2 linked regions of the Canis lupus familiaris genome follow. The protein of the gene in region 2 interacts with the protein of the main gene of each other region in a biochemical or structural test. Links are inferred from orthologs where the notes say so. Each region holds a gene or a part of one and is shown on either strand. Other genes may lie near its edges.

Region 1 (10,196 bases), on a different chromosome or scaffold from region 2:
TTATTAATTTTATTTGGGAATATCTCCAAATACACTTATGGGCTGAAAAGTGAACTTTTGGCTAATGCATGCCATTTGGCAATTCTTTGATCCTGGATTTCCCCACATTTCTGTTTGTTAGATTACAATCAGAAATTATCTTATGAAACACAGAAACTTAATAAGACTTCCATTTGAAACACAACACAATTAAGAAAAACAAAACCGGAGCCAAATACCCAAAGTGTATAACTAAGCAAGAGGCAGCATTTACCCTTGAGAGGACTGGAAGAATGTCAAGTGGGCACGTGGGCTGAGGCTGATGTCGTCCCTTCATCTACTGCTATTCGTTTTGTGAATACTCACCAAGCTGTCTCCTTAAGATACGTGCCCTTTTCCACATGTAAATAATACTTCAATTAAAACCAAAACATTAAAGAAAACCCGAAATCCATGAAATTAGAGTTAGATTGCTGAATATGTGAGTTTATCTCTGACTCTTCAGCGAACCCAGATTGTGCCTCTACCTGGTGAACCAAGAAGGTCTGGGACAAGGGGCCCCTGAACTCTCCCTGCAACTCTAGCCTTGCAAGCAACCTCATCCTTTGGCAAATTAGCTGCTTTCAATGTCAAGTTAAAAAATTGCATAAGATGGCCTCTGATCTAAACCTGAGAAATGAAGAAATATGGGAAAATCACTCCCTCTTCAAATGATGCCAAGTCATTGCATCTTACCTCATAGTAAGCCCCAAATCAATCAGCAAATATTCATAGAACACCTACTGTGTGGAAGTATCACAATGAATGTGCCAAAGAAAGAGGACCTGGACCACAGAAGCCTCTACTCTTAGGTTGTACAGACAGGACACATACAAACCTCCCCTGGGTGCTATGTAATCCCAGGTGTGCTACATACTGAGGATGTGGTATGTTCTACCCCAACACCCTGGAGTTTATTTACAAACTGAACAAGCACACAATAAAACTGAAGTGCTGCTGAAATTTAGATTGGATTTACAGAGAAATAAAAATGGGCAACGTCCTGGGGTGTTATTTAGCAATAGTTAGTTCTGAACCTATTTGACATAGTTATAAAATGATGGCACACTGATATTGAGGAGTATATGTAGAAAGCAGACTACTCTTTAAAAAAATCTGAAACAATATTATAATTCTGTTAAGTACAAGTCCAGTAAGGGTGTTGATGTGGCTCAAAACTATCCATGAGATTGAATGCTACAATATTTGTTGAAAATTCTGTATATTTTAAAACAGTTTAATAAGCTATTTAAAAATCCCAGAACTCCAAAATCACAACAAAACCTTTTTAATAATTAACTATGAAAGAACAGTAAAACCTAAGAAAATTCTATCTAATTGGGAAATTTAAGATTTGTTATTTAATAAAAAGATATTAAGCATTATTGGTTATATAAATTAAACAGTGAACAAATTCATTTTCATCTTCAGAGTTACAATTTGCATAAAATTCCAACAGAAACTGTCAATGGTTCTATAATGCATATAGAAAATGAATAAATAAGAACAAGAATGGACAGTTTGAAAGTAACAGGGACAACCTAAAGTTTTTGAGGCTTACTTAATAAAATCAGGACAAGGGGTGCCTGGGTGGCTCAGTCGGTTAAGTGTCCAACTTGTGGTTTTGACTCAGGTCATGACCTCGGGGTCCTGGGATTGAGCTCCACATCTGGCTTCCTGCTCAGTGGGGTATCTGCCTTTCCCTCTGCCTCTGCCACTGCCTTCAGCTCATAGTCTCTCTCTCTCTCAAATAAATAAACAAATATCTTAAAAAAAAATCAGAACTAGAATAGAAACAAACAAAAACAAAGAAAGTTGCATAGATTCAAATTATACAGAATTTTCTCAACTCCAAAGAAAGGACATTACCAAACAGAGAAAGAAAGAAAGAAAGAAAGAAAGAAAGAAAGAAAGAAAGAAAGAAAGAAAGAAAGAAAGGAGTCAAGGAGTTCCAGACAACCCTCTTGGTTACATACACATTACTCTTGTAGTACTAAGCAAATTACATTTTCCCTGCACAGAAGGATGGCATCTAAAATGACATTCAAGCCAGTTTCACCAATGAGGAATAGCAGATATGACCTGTAACTGAGGTCCTCCTCTTCAAGGAGAGGAGATCTCCTCTCAGATCTATGGACGTTATGAGTGTTAGTGTGTATATATATGGGGGGTACTATTTATTGCATATATATGTTATCTATACATATTTGATATATTTATATACATACTATATATACCTATACTAATATATATATATAATGTATATATACATACATATATACTATATAAAAGGTCTATATATATACTATATATATACTATATAAAAGGTCTATGAAAATCTCAGGCAAATTATGATTATGAAAATAGCAGTTATATCTGGGCTGTGGAAACTGGGTAAATTTTTATTCACTTGATACAATTTTTTGTTACTTTCCAAACTTTCTAAAAATTACAAATTTATTTAGAGAAAATTTTTAATCAGTATATGATTTTTGGATGCCATAGAATCACAAATTTGTAAAATTTTGCACATAGGAGGAAAATTTAAATATAATAGAGGGTATTTATGGAAGTGGGACTCTGGGAGTTAATTAATTTCTTATTCAATGTCGTTTCTTCTTAAACCTGCTATAATGAGCCCTTTGCAGCTCTTTTGCAATGGTAAAGTTAAGGATTATTCATAAACCTAATGTGCAGAGACTGGAGGATACTAGCACGGAGGTTGAAGAAGATTGAAACATTCTGACTCTATGAGATATTAAAGCTCATTATATTACAAAATACTTAACATATTTTATTTAATACAGATAAAAAGAATAATAAATCAATGAAAATGTCTCAAAATAGATTCAACTATATGTGAGAAACTTAATACAACACAGTAAGCTTTCCAATGCAAACAAGTTAAAAAGAATCATCTAATAAATTTAGTTGAGATATTAGGAATAATTTAGAAGGAAAAAAATTAAAGAAGAAAGGGTAAGTTAAAGCTAGTAGACATGATCTACCAAATGAATGCCAGGAGGATTAAGGAGTTAAATAACAGCAAACTAAAACACAAAGTTGTAAACAAGTCAAAGTGGTAGAGAATAGAATAGGCTATGTAAGAAATTATGAAGAAATACATTTTTAGCTTTAACGTATGACAGAGATCAGAAGGAAAAGTTTATCATATTACATACACAGATGTAAAATCTCTGTACACATTTTAAATAAGCAAGATATTGGGAAGATATTTACAGCAAAATTTTGATAAACAGAATGTTTAATATAGTTCATTCAAATCACAAAGAATTAGGACAAATGAGGGAAGTTATAAATAAAAATTAGCAGAAGATAAAATTAGAAGTTATGTAAATACGCAGAAATTCTTATTTGTAAGCAAATAACAAATTACATTTGAGATACTGTTTACAACTACCAAGCTAGCCAACATAAATTTTAAAAGATAAAACACTAAGAATGTGGAGAACTTGTACAGTGCATTTCTGACTACAATACATTTATAATTCATTTTGGAAGCAACATGGCAAAAGGGAGTAAGGGTGATAAAGATGTTTATCCTCTTTATTTCTGATATTCTTTCTTTGGAACATGTAATTCATCAGAAATAAGAGGGTGGCCCAGGTGGTGCAGCGGTTTAGCGCCGCCTTCGGCCCAGGATGTGATCCTGGAGTTCCAGGATCGAGTCCCACGTGGAGCCTGCTTCTCCCTCTGACTGTGTCTCTGCCTCTCTCTCTCTCTCTGTGTGTGTGTCTCTCATGAATAAATAAGTAAAATCTTAAAAAAAAAAAAAAAGAAAAAAGAAAAAAGAAATCTGCACAAAAGTTTTGGAAATGGTCATGTTAAATAACTGTGTGACAGGAAACTAACATGGATGTGTGAGAATAACTTAGTAGTAGGGAAAATGCTTATTGCATAATGATAAGTGAACACAAAAATAAATCCATAGTATATATGCTGTATTTTTTCAGTTAGGTAGGAAATACATATGATAAAATTGCAAAGTATGAAAATAATTCATGTGTTAAAGTATAGTAAAAGTACTCACATTTCCTAGTTTATATATATTTAAACCCAACTGTTTCTGATACTTGACACAAAGCATATGTAGAAAATTATGGTTTTAAGGAAGAGGTAAGAATTTTCTTTCCATGAATAAGGCAGTTAGTGAATACATTTCCAGCCAAAGCACCTAATGTGTGTGAGTGTGTGTGTGTGGTCTGACGGAAGAACACCTAGTCTCTAAGTCATGTGCTTCCCTCCACAAGTACAAATACATATGTACAGAACTACACCTGTTCTGCTCACCTCAAGGCCAACGTGAGGACTTAAGGAAATGGTAGCCGTGACAATAACTATCCCAGCATGCGCCAAGCAGGCCCATGCTGTTTGCTCAAAACGTGTTCTTTCAAAAAAAGGAAAGAGAAAGAAGAAAAGAAAAGAAAAGAAAAGAAAAGAAAAAAAAAGAAAGAAAAGAAAAGAAAAGAAAGAAAAGAAAAGAAAAGAAAAGAAAAGAAAAGAAAAGAAAAGAAAAGAAAAGGAATGATACCAGGGATTGTTTAAGTTGTGATATTATTGAATGAATGTAATGCTCTTTTTCATCGTTGAAATGCAGGAACTAGAATCAAACATTTGGGGAAGCTCTGCCCAATCCAAGGTTTCTGGAATCTCTAAGACTGTGGAATAAGTGGGACAGAAAGAAAGGCAGCAATCATGAAAGAACTCTTCCTGGAAAAGTTCCTGGAAAAGCATTAAAGAAAAGCTTTAAAATCTGTGTGTATACGCATGCATGCGTGCGTGTGTGCATGTGTGTGTGTGTAAAATGAACTTTTTTAGAACTACAGCAATAAACAAATCACAAACACACACCTGCTCCCAACAGGAGCTTCACTGGGCTGCATGGCACACAAGGTGCCCTCAGGAAGTGTTTACCTTTACCTGACTGTCCATGACTCAGGTAGACAGAACCTATACTGACCTGAAGCGCTTTCCTGCTGGAGTGATGGACACTGTTTCCAACACAGGCACGATCTATTGGAGGAAGACTCTGGGCTCTTTCTCATCCTTTATGCTGCCAGGACAGCAGGGCCCTCACTATGCTCATTGGAGGACAAAACGTGGCGTGCAGGCTCATCAATGTGCCAATGCACAGGCTGTGCCCTAAAGCCACATCTGGTGTAAATGCACCTCTCACAGTCTTTGAGTACTGATCAATCAACTCTCGGGACCTCAAAGCAGAGGCCAGCCTCCACACCTGTGGATGCCAGGCTCCCTGGCTCCCAAATGCTTCTGCACCCAAAACTTACCTGTTTCTTCCGGCCCCTGAATGGCACGCTTGTTTCTGCTGCTTTGGCTGGAGTTGCCTTCTCCTGCAGCGGATGGTGCCAAGATTCCCTAAGGAGAGAAAAACCCCAAGTTATTGCAAAGATATCTGAGGTGTGGGGGGCAGTGGTGCGGGGCAAACCTGGGGCCGCAGCTGCTGCAAACTCACGTTCAGAGCTGAGGTGACAGCTGGGGTCTCCCGCATGGCTGCCCTGGGGGCCCTGGCTCTGGCCTGCGGAGGGCCTGGCAGCCGCTCAGGCTCAGCGTGCTGTTCCCGCAGCTCCGCCCGGAGGCTCCCCAGCTCCGCTTGCAAGGCAGCCGCCCTGTGGAAAGACACCACGGAGAGGCAGCAGGCCGTCAGGGCCAGTAGCAGGGTCACGGCCAGCAGCGTTCCATCTTTGGAGCATGGGACAGAGGGGCTTTCCTTCAGGGGGAGGATGGAGACACACTCCTTCAGTTTCATTTCTTCTCCCCTCTCAAGGCAAGGAGAAAGGCGTGACTGCTGGCCTTCTGTGCAGCCATCCATGGCACTCCCGCAACTTTGAAGGTTTGGACCTTTCGAGTAAGTGAGCGCAGGGACCGGATCATTTCCTGTGAGCTGTGCTTGCTCATGTCCTACACGGACTACATGGCCTGGCCCCGTGGTCGCCCTCAGGAGAGCTCTCCTGAGCTTCCCTCCGTCTGCCTGGCCGCATCGCGGGGCCCCCCCGGTATGATAGGTCTTCCTGGCACTGGCCCTTCTATTCGATTGCCCAATCATTTCCTCATTTCACTTTCAGTTTTTGTAAGAATTTTAATCGCATCTAAGACACACACACACACACACACAAACGGGCCTCGGGCATCCATTGGTATGACAGGACATGGGGTTTGAGCTGGTACACTTGGGACAGCTGGACAGGTACCGGAGGAGCCGCCGGTGGCAGGACGGGAGCCACTCTGCTCGGGGCCACATGGCTTCGGAGGGCAGGGGAAAACACACTGACGTTCCTGCTGCTGTAATAAAAATAATTAATGCGAAGGTCAGATAAGCTAAGTACTAGCACTGAACTGTACTCAGCTGGAGAATGATTTATGAACAGTTTCAGAGTAGGAAATAAAACGAGATTTCCTCAGGGGAGGCACAGACATCCACTGGGGAATATTCTTTTTATTATTATCTTAGCAATGAGATAAAAAGAATGTGACTAAATTTGGGGGATGTAGTTAGATTACACATGAGGGCTTCTTTATATGCAGGGGATGCATTTTGAAGGGAAACATGTGTACTGCGTTCCTTCTGGGACTCACTGCCCGGCAGGCAGCCACGCACAGGACGGCCAAGCTGGGAAGCACTCCCACTAAGCTCCAAGTGTCCGCTCAGGCCGACAGCATCTGGGAAAACTGGCCTTATCTCCAGCTCCAAGTGCCTCAGTCCAGCCCACCATGAACTAAGTGCTCTTTCCCTAAAGCAGCTAATCTACTGGTCCTTATTAGGTTGACCCTGCCCCAATCTACTGTGTCTGTGAACAACCTGATTCAGCCCAGAGTCATGGTAGCTCCAAATCATGGCTGCTGGATGTGGTCTTGCCGCCAAGACACGTCTTGATGGCTAGCTCCTGAGTACTTCCTGGGGTCTGGCTGCTCGGCTCCTAGGACCTGCATGTTGTGTCAGGAGCTCACACTTCAACAAATGCTACTGAGCAATTGCCAAGGCCTGGCTGGGCCTGAGTCCTCCATGTGCCACGACTGGAGCGCTAGCTCTGTCTCACATGATGTCCCTATGCCAGCTTCAAAAGGAAAGTCACAGAAATAACGTAAGTGAGGGTAGGAGCTCCAGAGCCAGGGTGTGAATCCTCACTCTCCTTGGTCAAAACACATGGTGTGTCTGGGATTCGGTTTTCTGTCTGTGAAATGGGATGGTAAGGGTCCTTGGGAACTGTAACAGGGCTTATAGGAACCAGGACAAACTAGATTTAATATGCTTCCATTTCTCATCCATTTTCACTCATGACATGAACTATTTTTCTTTATTACAAATGGCACCATCACAGACGTCTTCGTGCGGGTCTCCTTGGAATGTCTGCAGGGATTTCCCCGGGAGACACCTGCTAGGGTGTCAGCACATCTTCACCTCTGTCAGGAGTCACAGAGCAGCCTCCCTGAGGAGTTCCTGCTTCCTCCCCGGCTCACGAGGGGTGACGTCACCAGACACTCATTTTTACCTGCTAGGTTCCTTTATGTCTGTGAGTTCTAAGACCTTGTTAAATGACTTTTACAGAACTTGGAAAAAAAAAATAACACCTCTAAAAAGTTCTTTTGAAGATTACCTTGGCCGCCCAAAGCAGCTGTTCTCCGATCTCTCAGGTGAGTGCGTGAGCAGACTCCTTTGTGTCAGATGTCACGTAATACACGTCTTCTGTCATAGTTCTTGCTTCCAGGCCAATCAGGGGGACATACACTAGAGAAAAAGAAAAAAAGAAAAGAAAGAAAAGAAAAGAAAAGAAAAGAAAAGAAAAGAAAAGAAAAGAAAAGAAAAGAAAAGAAAAGGAAAAGAAAGAGAAAGAAAGAAAGAAAGAAGAAAGAAAGAAAGAAAGAAAGAAAGAAAGAAAGAAAGAAAGAAAGAAAGAAAGAAAGAAAGAAGAAAAGAAAAGGAAAGAAAAGAAAGAATCAGTTTGGGGATTATACTAAACCCTTCTGACTGAAAGTAAGGGAAGCTCACTCAGGTTTATGTGTGTGTGTTAATATTACCCAAAGACATATGGAATAAAAGAATTTGAGGCAGTGCTAGAAATTCATCGCTCTGTGCTTTTACTCAGGACACTTGTAGCCACCGCTTCTTTCTGTGAGTTGACTTTCTTCCACTTTTGGTGGGACACTCTTGTCCATATGCTGCTGTAAAAATTGCAGAGAGGGGGAATAGTTCGATTGCGTTAGAGAATTAGTTCTGCCTTCATTGCTCTTTTGGATAGACACCTTCATGGCCGACTGTCTTCAGAGAGTACCACTGACCAGCCTATGTGTAGGTCAGTTTAAAACAAGTGTCTCATCTTGGATCAAGTGGTGGGCAGCCCTAAGCATAGAGAGGGCTGGTGCTTCTTCCACAGAAGGCGGCAGGCCGGTGGCTTCCCCTGACCCAGATGTGAGGCTCACGGCTACTGCCATGTGCACATCCTTCACAGTGATCACACGACCAAATTTCTCTGAAGACAAGTGGAAACCAAGCAGCATTCATGTGCTCCTGAATTTCTTATTAGAGGAACAAAAGGAAGTTACTACTCCATAAATCAAGGATCTGTTTCCTGCTGAGGAAATGTCTTGACAATAATTTAACTGAAATTCTGTTAAACAAATAGCTTGCCACTCATTGAATAACACCCCACACCACAAGTTTATTCAGGGAAGGAAGCTACCATACCTGAGCCACAGAGTGCTCTCTGCCAGGATGCAGCTACTTCTTACCTACTTTTTTTTCCTCACCTGAAATAGAAAATATTCCCGTGTATCACAGCTACACCACTTGTAATAAATGAATCCGTATTGCTTGTCCCATCCACTCAGGACTGGGCAGATAGGAACATGTAAGAGTATAGGTGAAAAGAATTTAAGTTATGAGTTTATCCAAGGGTGTGAACCAGAGAATAAAATATTAAAAAAAAAAACGTAATTAGGAACTTCTGGCTTAATAGTATTATGAACATTTAGCGCCTTTAGGAAACCTCTCTTAGACCTCTTCTTTGAGGATAAATTATCTTTATTGAGGATGTGGACCTCTCAACTACGTGAACAAGAGCTCTTCTAGATATGTGGATGTAGCTACAATGGATCTCGGTAAAACTGGCTTCCTAAAGAGCTCAAAACGTGGTAAACAGCTGGATACAAATAATTATTACATTTGAGAAACAATCATGTTGTTTTCTTTTGGATATATGCAGTCAGTGAAACTGATTTGTAAGGCTAAATGCTAATCACCTGGTAACTGTGAAGTAATGATGTATTTTTCTGGTCATTTTGTGTACAAAAAAATAATCCGGGCAATGCTGATTCCTATTTCTCAATAGTTACACTAAAAAGAGGAGCATGTGCATTTACTGGAGCTTAATTTGTGTCACTCTTGGGAAAAACATCCACTTTTGTTAATGATTTAGTTTCATTTGCAAATATGTCTTTAGTTTGTTGGGGCGCTGCTTTCAGACGTAATGCTGTTGAACAACAGTGTTTAAATGTGTGCTTTCAATAAATTTCTGTCGACCTCAATACTATTTTCAATGATAGTGCAGTTTAGTTTGCTCTTCTTTCCCCTTGTAACACCAACATGAATAAAATTTTAATTAGTATTAAGGTGGGTATGTGTCAGTCAATGCCATCATCTACCTATTCCATATACATGAATGAATCTGTCCATACCACATATAAGGCCACAGAATACACACTTACACCTAGGGACACTTGAATAAAAACTGGTCATATTCAACCCATCTCGAAAACACTTAGAGAAACGATAGAGTAATTGTTTCAATCGAGTAGAAGTAGAGTAATGAATCTCTGTAAGATTTCATGCAAGAAGTCTTACCCTCTGCCTCTAAAAATTATTAAGGCAGAACTTGCAAACATTTAAAATAATTTATTTGAAATTTTGTTCAATAAATGTCAGAAGTAAAGTGATGGAGGTGGAGTGCCCAGGTCAGACATGTATGTCTGCATGCCTAAGGTTGCTTCACCATCTAAACAGACTCTTTTCTGCCCAAAATCTAGAAACTGATTTTTTTCCCTACCTTCAGCACCACTTTATTATTTTTTTTTAATTTAAATTCAAGGGGCACTTGGTGGCACAATTGGTTAAGTGTCCAACTCTTGATTTCGGCTCAGGTCAT
Region 2 (10,167 bases):
TTACAAAAAGTTCTAGAGAAAAAATGATCTGATATTTCTTTGTAAACTTGGAGTATGAGAGGCCTAACTGTGACCCCATATCCAAAATCTGTAAAGACTGATAAACTATACTACAGAAAAAAAGCCCCTAAATGTGGCAAAAAATGCCTTCAAAGAAGTCTAAAGGGAAATGAAAAATGAGAACAAAACATTGCAGTTCATATCTATAAACAGAAGGGAAAAGGCCAGCTACTCAATAGAAAATTGAGCAAACACAATGAATAGACAGTTCTTAGACAGAGAAAAACATCATAAAGATGTCTGGTCTCATTCCTAAGAGATGGGTGAACTCAAACTATGTTGATACTATCTTCCCTCTAATAGACCTAAAAATCCAGAAGCTTAATAACACCTTCTATTAGCAGAGTAATGAGGAAACTGGCACTTTCATTCACTCTGAAAGGGGAGGAAATAGGGATAACCCTCGTGGAGGGCAAGCTGACAACATTTGTCAAAATTACTGATGCATTGATCAGTGATACAGTGATTAAACCCTGGGATTTATCCCAGAGTGTGAAATGATAAATTCTTTGCAGCAGTGTTTGTGATAGCAGAAGATTGGTGAAACCTCAAACGGCCATCAATAGAGGACCGATAAGTAAACTATAGTATGCTTATATATGGGACTATTGTGCATCTATAAAAAAAGAATTAGGAAGCTCTTTATATATTTCTATGGACAGAGCTCCAAGGTATATTATGTGGAAAAGCAAAAATAAAAACAAACAGGTACATAACAGTATGGCTCATTGAGACCCCTCCTGCCTTCCTTCCCTCCCTCCCTCCTTCCTTTTTTGCAAAAAGGGGGAAATTCAAATCTGTAAGTGTTGGCATATTCACAAAGAAACACTATAAAGAAACTTAAGAAACAAACAAACAAAAAAAGGTGTTTTAAATAAAATTCTTAGGAATAAATTTTTAAAAAGTGCAAAACTTGTACATTGAAAACTATAAAACCTTGTTAATAGAAATCTTAAAAGACCTAAACAAATGGAGAGACATCCCATGTTCATGGATTAAAGACTTAATATTGTTAAGATGGCAATATTCCCCAAATTTTTCTATAGAGTCAATGCAATCCTAGTAAAAAATCCCAGCTGGCTTTTCTGCAGAGTTTGACAAGCTGATCCTAAAATCATATGGAAATGCAAGAGACTCAGAAGAGCCAAAACAATCTCAAAAAAGAAAAACATAGTTGGAAGACTCACACTTTTCCATTTTAAAATTGACTATAAAGTAATAGTAAATAAGACAGGGTATTACTGGCATAAAGATAAGCATAGACAAATGGAATAGAACTCAGAGTTCACAAATAAAGCCCAATATTTATAGTCAATTGATGTTCAATAAGGATACCAAGACAATTCAATGGGAGAAAGGATCGTCTTTTCAACAAATAGTGCTGAGACAACAGGATAGCCATGTGTAGAAGAAAAAATTTGGACTCCTACCTATACAAAAGTTAACTCGCAGTGATCATAGATCTAAATGTAAGAGCTAAAATGACAAATTTAGATGAAAACAGGAGTTTCTTCATGACTTGGGGTTAGGAATGACACCAAATGCATAAGTGACAACAGAGAAGATTAAGAAATTAGACTTCATCAAAATTAAATACATTTGTGTTTCACAGAATACTATCAAGAAAATAAAAGGACAATCCACAGACTGGGAGGATATATTTGCAAACCATATATATGTTAAGGGATCCAGAATGTCTAAAGAATGCTTATAACTGAATATCGAAAAAACAATCCAATTTAAAAATAGGTTAAGGAATTAGACATCTTCCCAAAAAGATATGTGAATGGCTAATAAGAGCATGAAAAGATGCTCAACATCATTGGTCATTAGGGAAATGCAAATCAAAAGCACACTGAGATACCTACTAAGATGGCTATAATGAAAATGAAGGATAATGACAAGTGTTTGTGAAGATGTGGAGAAATTGGAATCCTCATATGTGAAACAAGATTATCAAATGGTACAGCTACTGCAGAGAACAGTTTGGTGGTTCCTCAAAATGTTAAGCATAGAATTAACATAAGACCCAAAATTCCACTCCCAAGAGAAATGAAAACATGTCCATCCAAATGCTTGACAGATATTCATGGCACCATCATTCATAATAGCCCCAAAGTAGAAACAACACAAATGTCCGTCAACTGATGAATGAATATATAAAATGTGCTATACCCATTAAATGGAATATTATTTGGCCATAAAAATGAGCAAAGTGCTGATAGATGCTACAACATGAAAGAACCTTAAAAACATCATGCTAAGAGGAAGAAGGTAGTTTGCAAAACACCGCATTTGATTTTTATAAAATTGTCCAAAGCAGGCAAATCTAGAGGCGCGTGGGTGGCTGACTCTTGATTTCAGCTCATGATCTCAAGGTCCTGGGCCCAAGCCCTGCATCGAGCTCCATGCTCAGCAGGGAATCTGCTTGGGATTCTCCTCCCTCTCACTCTGCCCCTCCCTCCACATTATAAACAAACAAAACAAAAACACAAGAAGATCTTTAGAGATAGAAAGCAGATTAGTGTTAGCTTAAGGCCAGGGGTAGGGGGAATGAAGTGTGTGGAAATGTTCTAAAATTAGATCATAGCGATGATTGCACAACTCTGTAAATATACTAAATGTGACATTGACGTGTACACTTTTATGACACGTAAATTATATGTCAGCAAATCTGTTTATTCCCAGAGAGGCAGGAACTGGGAAGGTAAGGACACTGAGGGAAGGAAGATTTCATATTATATACCTTTTTATATTTTCTGGGCTTCCAATGTAGACATGGAGAGCTTCCAAGACATTAATGATCGGAAGCCACCGAGCTGTGAGATCTGACGGGACATAGTTCCCAACTGGCCTGACGGCAGACACCCAACGGACCGGAGGGCACCGTATCTGCTCCCCACTCCTCCACCACCATCTGCATCTACATAAAATTCAAGAATCATTGTCCAGCCCCAAAGAGGGGCAGGAAAATCCTAAGACTGACACTGGCCAGGCATAATGGAAGCTTGAGAAAGTTCTGTTGCCATGTAGGGAAGAAGGGAAGAAGTCCTCTTGCACGCCTGCTTTTGCGGACCAGGCTCACACCCCCCACCTCCTGCACCTTGCACCCTGACCGGACAGCAGCCAGGAGGGATGACTGTGGGGCCTCTGCCTGTGAGTCCTCATGTGCTTGGCTTAATAGTTTCCATACCAAGAAGGACCTCTGTGGTCAACTTAGTTGGAAAAATGCCGGATTAAAGAAAGTCAAAGCTCTTTTAACTGCAGCCCCTCTCTCAACCTTTGACTCCTCAAGAGGGGTTCTGGCAGGGGGCAAAGCCCTTTTGAGGTTTTGGGGGACACCTGGTGGGGCAGAGGCTCCTCTTCATTGTAAAGCCGAGGAAACAGCCTGGCGAGGTGCAGAACCCTCCCAAGGTCACCCAGTGAGCCCGTGAACACCGGGAGCTAGGACTCCAGGCCAAGGCTGATTCTGCTATACTCGGCAGCCACGCTCGGTGCCCGGTCACAGTTCCGACCGAGTCCCGGCCTGTGGTCCTGGGGGCCTGGGCAGTTTCACCCTGAGTCAAGGGGGCCTCTGGTCTTGACTCTGAGCCCTTAGCTGGGGATATGTCTGAGGCCATGGTCACTGGATGAAGAAAGGAATCAGAGACTGACTCGTGGGGGACAGAGCAGCAGCCGGCAATGTGGGATCCCGGGCTGGGCCACCCAGGGCCCTGACAGCCCCTCTCATGTTTAGCCTTGGGTCCCCTCTGCACAGTGATGGACTTGGACTCATCTACTCCAGCAACCTGAGCTTCCTGGATTGTGCCTTCAAATGAATCTTTAAAACTCTCATAAAAATTCTACAGGCTAAGTAATCCAGGGTCTTCAATAAATATATAGCAGGGGGAAGAAAGGAGAGCAAATGGGGACTGTTCTAGATTAAAATATGTAATCAAAGGTATAACGTGGGTTGTGTTCAGATCCTGATTTGATCAAATCAGTTGGAAAAGACATTGATAAGACAGTTGGGAAGTCTTGACACTGACTGTTTATTTGGTAATACTAGGGGATCCTTCTTTTTTTAGTTGGTCAGGGCATGATGGTTAGTTTTTTGGCCTTTAAAGAGTTTTTTTAGAGATTAATGCTAAGGTACCCATGAATCAAACAATATGAAATTGGTTATTAGCTCTAAACTGATCCAGTGGGGCTGGAGGGGGAACATGGCAAGCACAGAAAATGTAAGGCCGGCCCTGTGTCGATAATTGCCAAAGCTGGGGGATGTATGCAGAAAGTGCATTAAACTCTCCTCTCCGCTTTGGCATTGACTTCAAAATAAAATACTTTTTAAAAAAATATTTATTTATTTATGATAGACATAGAGAGAGAGAGAGAAAGAGAGAGAGAGAGAGAGGCAGAGAGAGAAGCAGGCTCCACGCAGGGAGCCCGACGTGGGACTTGATCCCAGGACTTCAGGATCGCGCCCTGGGCCAAAGGCAGGCGCCAAACTGCTGAGCCACCCAGGGATCCCAAAATAAAATACTTTTAAACGCTCGGACCAACCTGGCTCAGGTGCCCTGACCAGCTTAGGAGTGGGGTTGGGGTTGTCTCAGATGGGACTCCCACCTATGTCCTGACCCTCCATCTTCCCGGCTCCTCTCCTGGAATGCGAGGTACAGATCCCCTAAAGCTCCCAGACTTGGGGCTCTCTACGTGCAGAGGCTTGGGGTGACCCCCAGACTGCTCGAGCTTACCCGTCTGCTGTGGGTGCTGTGCCCATCAAACCCCATTGAAGCTTGTGCCCCGGCCAAGCCCTCCTCGCCCCCACTCCCCCCCACTGGCCGCCTCCCCGACTACTCACTCCACTCCTCCTGGCCCGTCCGAGTCCGGCTGCCTCGCCTGCTCTGGCCCAAGCCACGCATTACTCAGGACGTTTATTATTAGCCTTAGATTTGATTAGTGCCTGAGCTGCACTTCCTGGGTTTTCCCCCCCCAACCTGTAGGATGTAAATCAGCGGCACCCCCACCCGCCCCTGCACCTGCGTGTTAGGAGCCGAGGTGGGCGGCCTGCGCCTACTCCGGAGTCCCCACCGGTGCTGTCTGCAGAGCCCCCACCACACACCGCCCGTCAGCACCCACAGAGCAAGGGAAAGGTTGGATTGGCTTTGGGAAGAGATGGAAACTGGTATGACCCCAATCTGGCCCCAACCCACCCCTTGGATGTGTCACACGCTCCAGGCTGCAGCCAGAGTGACCCAGGTCTCCAGCCTCCAGACAAGAGGCTTCCCAGGCCCTTCCCTCTTCTTGACAACCACTTCCTATTTCAGTGCTTGGTCATCTCTTCTTGATCTGCCTTCAGGCTCAGCCGAGGGGCCACCTCCTCCAGGAAGCTGTCCCTGACTGTCCCAGACCAGGTTAAATGCCCATTCTCTGTGTTTCCTAAGCCCTATCAAAGTACTCGAGAGGCTGACATCAGAGCAGGACACCCTGGATTGAATCTCAGCTTGGCCTCTGTGCCTCCATTTTCTCTTCTCATGAGTAAGTATAACGATAATACCTGCTCACAGTTAGCAGAAGGAAAGGAGAATGAAAGGAGTTACCCAGTTAAATCCTTAGCAGAAGTTATTGGCACATAGTAAGTTCTCAATAAACGATGAGGATCAGCGCCATAGCCCCCTTCCCACTATGGGAACTTGTTTTCCATGCCTTCCCAACTCCCCTGAAACCTCCACAGGATTAAGACTGGATTGAGACAGATTTAGAAGCCCATGGCATTGAGGAAGGAAACCTTGAGGGATCGGGTAGGTGGAGGGGAAGTGGGATGACATCCAGGGAGGAGTTACGGCAGGAGTGAGGGTGGAAAGGAGGGGAACAAAAGGCTGACCCGGATGATAGTGAACACAACCGGAGAGGAAATAGGGCTGGTAACCTAAAAACTGCTCAATCTCATGATCAAAGCGACACAAACAATGAAAAACGGATTTTCATCCACCAGGTTGGCACAATCTTCGAACTTGATAACAGGGAGATATGGGGGGTACCTAGGGAGATGCGATCTCTTGCCCTGCCAGAGGGAGGCTGTTGTTACTACCATTTTGGAGGGCAACCTGCCGGGTGCATTAAACTGTACAACATACACCTAACTCACAACCCCGACATTCTTCCCCGTGTACCACAGGTGCACAAGGATGTTCGCAGAGGCGTGGTTAATAATAGGGAGCATCTGGAAGCAACGTCCATGTCGATCCAGCGGAGGATGGCCGAGTGAGGTACACAGGTCACAACCAGGAATATTATGCAAAGGTTACAAAGAAGGGTTACAAGAAGGTTACAAAGATCAGTCTGGATCTGTAAGCAGTGACATGGAATGACTGTCAAGACAAACCATGATACCTTTTAGTAAAATAAAATCACAAATCGCATTTTCAGTGACACCATACATACGAACGTGATGCAGACAGACGACATCTGACAAGATGAGCATGGTGACAATGGTTGCCTCTGGGTAGGACAAGAGGGGACCAGATTTGGGGGTGATGGTCAAGAGGGACTTTAGCCCTACTTGTAATTTCTTAATGTTTACACAGAGAAGATACATCTGTATTACTTGTGCCAACAGCTAGGCAGGCGGGGTGGATTCGAGAGCCAGAGGCAATCATGGGTTCTGTTGCCAGGAACTTTCTGCCTGTGGAATCAGGGCAAGCCCAGAGTCACTGTTGGATGCCCTCAGTGCACTTCCCCCTTATCTTCTTCCCCGGAGCTGGGGCTCTCAGCACCTCACAGAGCAGCTGGCTCACAGGGGGTTAGTTCTGACCGTTGGAAAGCTGTCTCCATCTATTGAGCGGACTGTACCTTCCAGAAGCAGACCTGCTGGACTGACTGCTGGTCTCTGGAACCACACACATTGCCTTGCTCAATGAGATAGCACTTTTGAGTTTTAAAGCCAACAAAACAAAAGTTACACGTGAAACAAAAGTCAAACAGAATCAGATCTGACTCCCGGGGAGGCCAAGAACGGGATGGCAGGGTTTCCTAATGTCTCATTGCTGATCACAGCTTGCTAATGCTTTTGCTGGAACAGTCTTTACAAATAATGGATCTTATTTGCTTTCTATTTTCTTCATTTAAAAGTGCAATTTACGTGCAGTGAAATGCAAGAATTTGAAGTGTGCAGGTCAGTGAATAGTTTACAGATGTGCATACCCAGGTAATGCTACCCAGATCAAGACTGAGAACACTTGGGGCCCCCAGAAGCCCCCCTCCCTGCCTCTCCCAGCAGCCACCACATCACCCCAGAATCGCCCTCATTCTGACCTCTGTCCCCACAGATTCATGTTGTCTGTTCCTGACCGTATAAACAGGAACCTACAGATGGGATTATCCACTTCTTTCTTCTGGCTCCTTTCCGTTGTTACTAGATTTTATTAAACCAGACAGAGCAAAGCTGTGGGACATTTTGGCGGGGGGGCTTGCTTAGCCTCTGCAAGCCTCATTTTCTCCTGATCCAATGGATGAATGTTAAGCTCAAACAGGACAGCCCAGACCAAAGCATGTGTGATCTGTCCCCACCAGTGCCACACAATTGCAAGGAATTTTATTATTGTGGTACTGAGCTCAAATTTCATGACCTATGAAAATAGATTCCCTTCCTCCCTGGGCTCCCTCAGAACAGGTGCTGGAGGTTTCTGAACATCATTCTGAAACCAGCCCTCTCCGAGAGCTGTCTCCCCCAGGGGGGGACGCGGGATTCTAATTTTAAGTCCCCACATTTAAAGGGGACAGAAGAGTTCTGGGACCCAGAGTGAAGGCACCTTGTATACCTCCAGGTTTGGGAGCTGATTCATTCAAATAGGGTCACCTAAACAGTTAAAATGAGCACATGGTAAAGAAAAATTCAGTGTGAAAGGGACTATAGCAAAAAAGAAATTTTTCTCCTATCTAGATACTCTAGATGGCCCCTTTCCCTGTTCAAAGGTGGCAACTGTGACCAGATCTGGTTCACACAGGCTTCCGGCCAAGCCTTGACATTTACATGCATGCACACGTCGATAGATGATAGATTTTGCCCCATCCCCTCCACCCCCATACACAGTTTTTACACAATTACTTGTGCATACGGATTCAACACACTGTAAACATCTGGCTTTTTTTTTCACCCAATATATTCTATCAAGCTTTATCTTTTTATTTTTTTTAAGATTTTATTTATTTATTCATGAGACACACACACAGAGAGACAGAGACAGAGAGAGAGAGAGAGAGAGAGAGAGGTAGAGACACAGGCAGAGGAGAAGCAGGCTCCATGCAGGGAGCCCGACGTGGGACTCGATCCTGGGTCTCCAGGATCAGGCCCTGGACTGAAGGCAGCACTAAACCGCTGAGCCACCCCAGCAGCCCAAACCTAACCTTTTAAAGGAGTTCTTTAAAATGCCTATTACAAAAAATAAATAAATAAATAAATAAAAAATAAAATGCCTATTACAAAGAATAACAATAGTGAGCATTTACGTAGCACTCACCATGTTCCAGGCACTATTTTAAACCCCTTACATATATTCATTTAATATATATTTTATCTCTGTGTCTCATCTAATGGCTTGAATTCCCTAAGTGGATTATTTGGTCAAAGGAGACGTCACATTGATCAATATTTTCTTTTTATTTTTTTAAAGATTTTATTTATTTATTCATAGAGACACACACAGAGAGAGAGGGAGAGAGGCAGAGACACAGGCAGAGGGAGAAGCAGGCTCCATGCAGGGAGCCCGACGTGGGACTCGATCCCGGTTCTCCGGGATCACGCCTGGACTGAAGGCGGCGCTAAGCCACTGAGCGACCCGGGCTGCCCATGATCAATATTTTCCAACAGGACTGTTCCACTCTACACAAGCACGGCGGCGATATTTTGGGCCTGAGAACTCCTGCCCAGCGGTGTCGTGGTCTCTCTGAGGCAGTGGGGATTTGTCTGGTGAGCAGCACCCTGGCACCTGCCAACCCCCCACCCCAGGCCCTTTTGAGGCCATGCTGTGGAACCTTCTCTGAGAGTCCTAGAGGTAAGACAAAAGCAAGAGTATCCAAAAAAGGGCATTTCTTAGAAATGCAGTGAAAGCCCTGATTTTCATGATTGCAATTTACATATGCGACTCAGATGTGAATTTCCTACGTTGCTAAAGTACCCACTCCCTCCCTCGATTTGTGTTAGTTTCTCAGAAATTCTAAATACTTTAGCAAAACCCACTTCAAAAAAGCAAACAGCAGTTTCTATAGCAAGAGCCGCAAACTTCTGTGGGAAGATCTAGTTTCTCTGTCCATTAAAAAAAAATCCCCTCAAAATTCTTTATTATAAAAAATTCGAAACTCAGAGAAAGGCTAAAAGTAACAGAGAACAAATACCCATGGACCCTCCAGTGACATTTGACAAGTGTTCACATTGGTGTCTGTCTACAGTCTACTTTCCTGCTGAGACACCCGAAAGCATTTGCAGAAGGTGTAACATTCACTCCTCAGCGCTCCAGCAGACATCTCCTAACACACAGACCTTCTCTTCCCTACACTTAGCATTTCTACACCTAAGAAAATCAATAATAACTTGAAACCCCATCCAATATCTAGTCCATACTTAAGATTTCCCAGATGTTGTCCAAAGATTTTCTTGGCTGCCTCTTTTGAATCAGAATCCAGCCGAGGGTCACACGTGGCATGTCATTATTATGTCTGTGTAGTCATTTTTGGGGTCTAGAATAGTCCTTTCCCTTTTGCTCTTTGTTTTCTTTTATCTTCTTTTTCTTTCTTTGGTTGACATGGACTCAGCCTCTGTCTTATACAATGTCCCACATCCGCATCTCTCATGGCTTGTCCCCTGTGCTTTAACATGTTCCTCTAGCCCCCTGGAAGCAGAATGATAGGTCTGCACACTTGCTTGGATTTGGGCTCCAAGTGGGGAGGAGACATTCCAGGTGATGGGGTAAATAGATGTAGATTCTCAGCTAGTGCTGCGTGGTGTCAACGATCCCCCATGTGGTGATGCCCAACTGGAACCGCCTGTTAAGGTGGTGACACCAGATGTCTCCATGTAGAGGCACCCTGCCCCCTTTACAACGAGTGTCACCCGCAGGTGGTACTCTGACA

Evidence for each region. The genes of interacting proteins can lie anywhere in the genome.
Region 1: the proteins of TNFRSF13B (region 2) and TNFSF13B form a complex in vitro, tested with the Homo sapiens proteins (3 studies listed by BioGRID and IntAct, with this or other methods). The link is inferred for Canis lupus familiaris from reciprocal best matches to the Homo sapiens genes TNFRSF13B and TNFSF13B.

What each region holds. Positions count from the first base shown.
Region 1 is NC_049243.1:57,179,924-57,190,119, reverse strand, and holds the start of TNFSF13B (tumor necrosis factor ligand superfamily member 13B), read right to left. Parts: upstream 6,101-10,196; 5' UTR 5,870-6,100; coding exon 5,513-5,869; intron 5,416-5,512; coding exon 5,328-5,415; intron 1-5,327. UniProt on the Homo sapiens protein: Cytokine that binds to TNFRSF13B/TACI and TNFRSF17/BCMA. TNFSF13/APRIL binds to the same 2 receptors. Together, they form a 2 ligands -2 receptors pathway involved in the stimulation of B- and T-cell function and the regulation of humoral immunity.
Region 2 is NC_049226.1:42,658,143-42,668,309, reverse strand, and holds the start of TNFRSF13B (tumor necrosis factor receptor superfamily member 13B), read right to left. Parts: upstream 5,041-10,167; 5' UTR 4,962-5,040; coding exon 4,901-4,961; intron 2,984-4,900; exon of another isoform or gene 2,807-2,983; intron 1-2,806. UniProt on the Homo sapiens protein: Receptor for TNFSF13/APRIL and TNFSF13B/TALL1/BAFF/BLYS that binds both ligands with similar high affinity. Mediates calcineurin-dependent activation of NF-AT, as well as activation of NF-kappa-B and AP-1.